Oreochromis niloticus: one gene and its partner. The protein of the gene in region 2 purifies or fractionates together with the protein of the main gene of each other region. This does not show direct contact. Links are inferred from orthologs where the notes say so. Each region holds a gene or a part of one and is shown on either strand. Other genes may lie near its edges.

Evidence for each region.
Region 1: the proteins of arpc1a (region 2) and arpc2 purify together in Homo sapiens (affinity purification with mass spectrometry; 8 studies listed by BioGRID and IntAct, counting the BioPlex papers as one, with this or other methods). This does not show direct contact. The link is inferred for Oreochromis niloticus from reciprocal best matches to the Homo sapiens genes ARPC1A and ARPC2.

The regions. Positions count from the first base shown.
Region 1 is NC_031986.2:14,310,022-14,313,943, forward strand, and holds the start of arpc2 (actin-related protein 2/3 complex subunit 2), read right to left. Parts: upstream 2,662-3,922; 5' UTR 2,509-2,661; coding exon 2,435-2,508; intron 453-2,434; coding exon 418-452; intron 1-417. UniProt on the Homo sapiens protein: Actin-binding component of the Arp2/3 complex, a multiprotein complex that mediates actin polymerization upon stimulation by nucleation-promoting factor (NPF).
Region 2 is NC_031971.2:12,856,477-12,860,398, forward strand, and holds the start of arpc1a (actin-related protein 2/3 complex subunit 1A), read left to right. Parts: upstream 1-1,356; 5' UTR 1,357-1,703; exon of another isoform or gene 1,704-1,815; intron 1,816-2,380; 5' UTR 2,381-2,407; coding exon 2,408-2,471; intron 2,472-2,752; coding exon 2,753-2,857; intron 2,858-3,076; coding exon 3,077-3,299; intron 3,300-3,922. UniProt on the Homo sapiens protein: Probably functions as a component of the Arp2/3 complex which is involved in regulation of actin polymerization and together with an activating nucleation-promoting factor (NPF) mediates the formation of branched actin networks.

The DNA of each region.
Region 1 (3,922 bases), on a different chromosome or scaffold from region 2:
AAGCTAGCTGCATAATAGGAAACTGAAGACAACACCACCATCAGCATCACCCTTCAAACTTTGAAACAGGTGTTCAGACAACTTGACTGTGTCTGATCAGGCATTGCCCAAATCCAAACATCACATTACAACCTTTTTCACAGCGGGTTACACAAAATACTGCATGACACAACACACATACACTGAAGTCATTTAAAGAAATGTCATGCAACACATCCAACACTGGCTCATATTATTTGGTCTGATTTAATTTGGAGAACTTCCTTATCCAGACACCAAAAAGGGCACACTCATGATGACGACTCAACTCGGCTGAGAGAGCCATGTTATCAAAACTGTGTGTTAAAATCTAAACATGGTTATTCAAATATATTACAAACGGGGCAAAAATAGCATGCTGCTGCATGAGACGCTCACCTGCAAACGTCACATCGACGGCCTCTGGTTTGGTTCTGCAAGGAGAAAAAGAAACAACATGAGGAGACAAGTTTGTTAAGCCTGCAAAGCTGGTGTTCAATTCACCATCTTAAACACCATCAAAAAAAATAAAGAAACATTGGAGGTAGTGAGGAGGTTTAAGTAGCCTTGATGGTTAAAAAGGGAACAAAAAGGGTCATCGCACCAGTCAAAGCCACACACTTCAAACAAGCTAGCTAGTTATTGCTTTGTTTCCTGTTTGTTACAATTACTGCCACTAGATTCTTAAAAACATTATCATATTTCTATGATTAAAACGATATAAATATTAGAGCCCATCCAAAATAGTTTTTTAAAAATTATACTAATACCGATATTTGGTTTTTTAAAAAGACGATAACATGGTTGACAGGTGTTTCTCCCGTCTTCTTGTTACTTTTAAAATTGGACTTTATTTGCCATCAATACAAACCATTGGCATGAATCAAGCAGCATAAATGTCAACAACTTATATGGCAATAGCTCAACATTGGTCAACAAGGCAATATCAATTGATTCCTATGTTCAGGGGCCTTGCCAAGTCTTAGGAAAGTTTTTGGCCATTTTTAGGGAAATTCTGCCTTTTTAATAAAATAAACAAATGCTCCCAAATTTGCAGACATTATTCTGCAAAAGGAGAAATAAAAAGAACTGTTAGTAGCAGTTGCAGCTGACCAAACTCAATCACTTCCTCTGATAAAACCATAAAAGCTCAACGGTATCGCTAGCTTTACAACGCATGTAGAGTAGTTTAGTAAAGGGTGTCTTCACGGTAAGCTGGTTACTAGTTTGTGAAATACATGGATGGGGAGTTAATCAGAACTGGCCCTCATTATTTCCTCTACATTATAATCTGATCAGGACCTGTTAGTTGCTGTTCAAGTTACAGTACTGTACAATACTGGTATTACTCCCGCTGTCAGCCAAGCACTGGGACACAAATTAATTGCAAGATGAAGCAGCGCGCTTGCTAAAATTCAAAACATTTTAATGTTTTATGTAATCACCTCATGATGGATTCACAACTTTAATGAATCACCTCGACATGACAGTCTCTTTTTAAACAATCTAAGCAATGCCTGGAGAATGCACAGTAGCAAATCAACAGTGTAAAGGTGGATGCTGCAACGACTTGTCCACACGCTCATGCTCTGAGGAGCTACAGCCGCTGGCTGTGCAAAGAGCGCAGACTTGACTCAGCCTGACTACAGGAATGCGGAAGCAGGAGAAACAGAGAGAGATGGGCGATGGTTGGCTATCATTTAGCCACTAAAAGCTTTATGTAGTGCCGCGGAAGGCAAATAAATGGTCTTTATTAAGTCAAAACACCGCGGGCATATAATCTGATCTGCCGTGGTGGAGTGACACCGGAAATGAGCAGATAGTTTGCCTTGACAAACCTGTTGTGTGCGGAAAAAAAGAAAACTGAAATGAAGTCCTCACTTTATTTAAAAATATACAATATATTTTTTTTATGGAGTTACTATAGGCTGTTTGTGATTTTGCATATGACGTTATCAACCAGTGTGGAACAGCTTAATCATTAAAAAAAAGCTTACAAATTAGCTTTATTGCCGCTAGCTCCCTTAAGGCCATGTAACCTTTTAAAAACATTTGCTTCGTATTTATTGGCAGTGCAGTGTAAATATAACCAAAGTATCTATTGTGTGCTTTGTTGTTTTATCTCCAAGGTATGTGGGAGAACCGCCAGGGGAGATGAAATTCAACGGGGTTACAATTTTTGGCACAACACCGCCCGTGCAGACACACCCCGGCTCGTCGAGGCAGAGCAAGAAGCTAACTCTATGTGTATTTCGGCACTTCAAAAAAAATAAATACTCGTTAATACCACATAGCTTAACTGTGTTGAACCTGCTGCACCCGATCTTCCCCGTTTCTTTAAATGAAGCCGTCATCTTCTGTAAGAAGCTAAAGGGGAAGCTAGCAGTGCTAGCCAGGTGTAGCGATGATTTCTCACCCGTTGGATGCGCCGTCGAACTTGAGCGTCAGCGTCTCTTCGATAATGCGGTTATTGATTTCTAACAGGATCATCGCAGCGGACGCCGGTGTCGAGGAAAAAGGGGGGATTAGCGGTGTTGTTTGGTGGGGTTCACCTCTTTGTGTCAAATTCTGCAAATTTTTTTCTGCCCTGACAGACCCGACCGCTTCCGTCGAGGCTACTTCCGCCTGCAACTTCCGCGTATTTTACTCGCAGGGCCCCAATAAGACTGGGGCGTCTAAAATAATGCCTGTAATAAATTCGTAATGACAGTATTTTCTTGGTAAGAAAGAAACAGGTGTCCGCGACTTAATAAGTTTCAGTGGTACATCAGCCACAATTTAGGGCCATACAACTGTACTAATCAGGAAATACTTGTTCATACTTGTTTAAAAAAAAGACTATTTATTTATTAAGAACAGACCGTTGCAGGAGAGAAAGGGAAGGTTTTCATGATGGTAGTGAGACCTGCTGTGGGGCATGGTTTGAAGATGTAAGAGACAAAAAGACAGAAGGCCAAACTTGGTGTGGTAGGAAGGAGAAAATTAGAACTGACATGACATACATTAGAGGGGACAGCTCATGTTGAGTAGTTTGGAGACAAAGTTAGAGAGGCAAGACTGAGCTGGTTTGGACGTGTGCAGAGGAGGATAGTCGATATATTGGACAATGAAAAATGAATATGGAGCTGCCAGGCAGGAAGAAAAGAGGAAACCATATAGATGGTTCATGGATGTTTTTAAGGAGGACAGAAGAGAATGCTGAGTTAGGGTGAAATGGAGGCAGATGATGTGGTGTGGTGACCAGTGGCGGTCCTAGCCTGTTTGTCGAACACTCCCTCTACCACCCCCCCCCCCCCCCCCACACACACACACACACACACACACACACGAAACGCATTAAGGATTGTACATTAACATAAAACTGTTGTTGGAACCATACTGAATTTCACCAGAGAAAAATGCGCACACACACACGGATATGAAGAGAGAGAAAGTATGGATAGTATGCAAACGGCTACCAAACAGCCATTATAATGTGTCATACAATGAGAACAGGACAAATCAACAATTGACAATGACTAATTAATATTATATTATTGTATATATTGTTTGGAGTTTAGTCTGTTACTGTTACTATTTTTACCATTTCTTCTTGGAGCAACTGTAACCCACATTATTTCCTTAGGGATTAAGAAAGTATTCTGATTCTGATTGTTTCAGGATGACCTGCCATTATCCAATGACACATCTGCTTACCTGCATCTTTTGCTTGTTTCTCCTCTTCTTCTTTTCTTTTTTTTCTAAACTGAGCACCTGATGGCTTTGAACTTTTACTTGTCCATCTTCCATTGGTTTTAATTTTGCACTCCAGTATGAACACCCATCCCCCAACCCGAGGATCACCACAACATAACCTAATAGACCTACACCTTAGTTCACAGATTCACTTTGTCTAGGGTTTATT
Region 2 (3,922 bases):
TACCAGGTGCTGTTAATTGAATGTGCCTCTGATTGGTTCAAGAAAGTATTACCCACAGTTCAATGGCACGATGAGCATGTTAAGCAGGTAGAAAGGTCTTTCAGTGCTGGGGCAAACCTTCCCCCAAACAGCCATCTTGCTTAGTTTTATTCCATTGGAAATTGGTAAAAAAATCAAATTTTTGCACAGTAAAATCACTTTTTGTTTTTTAACACCAAAGAGAATCTGTTCTTTATGAGTAAGGCCAGATTTGCTCTATTATGCAAAAATATTGACCCACTCCTCATTTCTTTAGATGCTTATCCTTATCAGGGTTGCAGGGAGGAGCCAATCTATGCTTTTATTGCATTAATAGTGTGTTTGTGATCATTGTCATGCTGAAAAATGAAGCCTGAAAAATGCCAATCAGATACTTGACAGACTCTACTGACTTCCAACATATTGATGAGGATTTGGCCAAAAGCTTCACATTTGGATTCATCACTCCAATAAGACCTGGTGCCACTGATTTTCTGTCCAGTTCTTGTATAATTTGGCATACTTCAACCTTTATTCTTCCTTAAGAATGGCATCTTGATCAGGTACTGTTTATCTGCTATAGATGGTTTTTAGGCATACTTCTTCTTTTGTCCTTCACTTGTCCAGTTTCCTCAAACATTTTAAGAACACACTGCCTATCATGCAGAGATATGCCATTTTTCAGCTAAGAGCTCTTTGTTAATCCCTTCTTTGGTGGAAAAATACTGAAAAAAATGAAAATTCATCTCAAACTGTGCTTTTTGGCAATTTCTATATTTTCAACTAAAGAAACTGGAATAATTTGTGTGTGTGTTTTGTGACAGGCTACTAGTAACAGTGCTTAAAGGTACAATTTAAAATTGTTTCTTGCTAAATTATCTGTTAAGTTTAGACACAACACTGATCATACCTTGATTTAGAAGCTTTTTTTATTCTTGAAGTTTTCAGCATAAAGTGGATTCATAAAAAGAAAAAAATCAGGCATCAGGTACAAAGACTGAAAATAAGTGAAACAGCAGCCAATGCCCAAAGAAAAAGCCTGGAGCACTATTGCTCAAGACCACTTTAAAAAGATGACATGAAAATCTGTCTCATTAAAAGCTAAATACAGAGAAACTAGGGGTGGGTCAAGAATTTTACAGAGTACCATAAATATGAATTTAAAACTTGGTTTTTAATACCGAGTCGGTGATTCTATGTTTTGGCACATTCACACATTATCAGACAAAACACTTAGACCTTCTAAGCCTGATTAAGTCCTCCAGTCGTGTTTAATACAACACTGATACAGCGGCCACAAGTCTGTGCTGTTTTGTAACCGTTTAAAGCACTCTGGGTGTTTGTACGTGAGCCACTAGAGGAGCTCTTCTCGGGCTAGGAGTAGCGTGAGATCCAGCGACGTGAACGAGGTTATTCACTTGAATGTAACAGCTAGCGTGATGATGCTAAGCTAGCTGTCAGCCTGGCATCCACGGGTTTTGCTGCCGAGTTTTAGCTACCAGATGCTCCCGGTCGTATCCTGCTGGCCGTCTTGACATTCCCCTCAACATTCCTGGACGAATTCGTGTCGACTGACCAGAGTCCGCGAATTCAGGTCCACTCCTAATCTAACCTTTCCCCCCGCTAGCGTGACTTAGCTCACCGGCTAACAAGAGTTCAACACTCGGGAGAACCGGACTGACGAGGTAAGTTAGCATACGGAGGCTAGTGGGATGGACAGGCTAATGGTGTAGCTGTCACCGGGAGTAAAGGCTTCTTGTACGAGGAAAAAAATAATCTTAGAAAGGAGGCCTTCTGGTAAGCGTGTGGACACAGTCGTTGTCATTATATCCCTCAGAATTCCCCATCTTGCTGTTAGGCCTGTGTAACACCGGCGAACTGTGAGCTAGCAATTTGATTGACTTGCTAGTAACGTTTTGCTAATGTTAATTTACCGAGTGAAGCAGCTGACCTAGTAATGGTAATATTACCGGAGCTAGCTTAGCAAGTCCGTACTGGTTTAGAAGAATGTTGTACGTCTGTTTGGGGCAAAAAAGGACTTAAGTGAAAGTCAGCTTGCTAACGTTAATTTGCAATCATTATTTAAGAGAAACTAGTAAAGAAAGCTTCTTGGTGACAGGGTTTATCTAAAGAATCCAAGCCAGCGGCTAACACGTACATTACGAGTTAGGTTAGGTTGCTTTAAAAGTTAACAGTTAACTAGCTGTCCTATGTGAGCAGTGAACCAGCAGCTTCCAGTATGTATGCTGTAATGTGTGTAGTTTTTAAGTCTACCGAGACATCGTTCTGGTCTCCTGCTAGCTGGGAGTGTGTTTGCCGTTTGTTACTAAAGCTGAGTTTTTGCTGTGTTTTTGCTTCGCAGAGTTCAACTTAAGGACCACACCCAAACATGTCCCTTCATCAGTTTCTGTTGGAACCCATCACCTGCCACGCATGGAACCGCGACAGGACACGTAAGGCTCCGAGACTGTAGCTATGAGAAATGCTCACTTTAACACAACACATTTCAAGGTTAAGGTCTTAAAGGCTTTGTCTTCATTGGGTGGTCAGGTCACAATTACAAAGAATGCTGTTAGAGCAATTTCATCTGAACAGAGATAAGATTGGCTCGGTTTATTTTGGGTAACAGGTTGGAATTTGGCATGTATCAGAAAACTTGTCTAACTTGTTTGTTATCTGTGTGCTCATCGTGTTAACCAGCTGGTTTCTTCTGTTTTGTTTTGTTTTGCTTCAGAAATTGCCATCAGTCCCAATAACCATGAAGTTCATATCTACAAGAAGAGTGGCAACCAGTGGGTTAAGACCCATGAACTGAAGGAACACAATGGCCACATAACAGGTGGTTAATCAGATGTTTTTAAGACTGATCATTTTTTACTTGTGAACTGAAACGTAACATTAAATGTCTCACCCAACATGTCAGTAAAATTAATGTTTCTGAAGAATTCTTTAACAAGTAAAACCACAGCTAAGGTGGGATTGTGTGATCCTAAAGGGGTTTCTTTTTGTCTAAGCTATTAGTAGAGTTGTTAGTGACTGCTTATTGGCTGTGTTATAGGCATTGACTGGGCTCCCAAAAGTGACCGCATAGTGACATGTGGAGCAGACCGTAATGCCTATGTGTGGTCCCAGAAGGAGGGGGTATGGAAGCCCACACTGGTCATCCTCAGGATCAACCGAGCGGCCACCTTCGTCAAGTGGTCTCCATTGGAGAACAAGTTTGCAGTGGGCAGTGGTGCTCGACTCATCTCTGTCTGCTACTTTGAGTCCGAGAACGATTGGTGAGACTATTAATCCAGCAGTGGCATATTTTAAATGTGTTGATGTTCTTGTGAATGTTGTGAATAATGTGTTTCTTTTAAAGTGCAGCATTTAAGTTCAGTCTTGCCATTTATTTGAATTATTAGTGCATTATTTTGAGCTCATACGTCCAGACCAAACTGCTTTACCTCAATTTTCACACCTGCTTTAACAGGTCAGAGCAGCCACACAGCCTGTGTGAAACGCTTATCTGAGGTGTGGCTTGAACATTCATACAGAAGTGCGTCATCAAGAGTTGGGAGGCATGTCTCTCTCAGCAGTTATAGACTGTGAAAAAATCTGTTGGTAGCCACATTGACTTGCTACCAGTATCATTACAGAAATGATACTTGTCATTATAGTTATAAGGCTACACCTGTAAATGTCATAAACACAAAAGTAGAGTTGATTTTTTTTTTTTTCATTGGCATGTTATGATAGCATTTGAAGAAGAATGAGGGTGATACATGTGTGGTATGCAATCACAGCACAAACCCAGTGAAGGCTATAATTATGTGAGGACGTTAACAGAGCATTAGGTGAAGGGCAGCCTTTCTCTGCTCTCTACTTATCTCTCTGGTGGAGAGAGAGCTGTGCTGCAAGG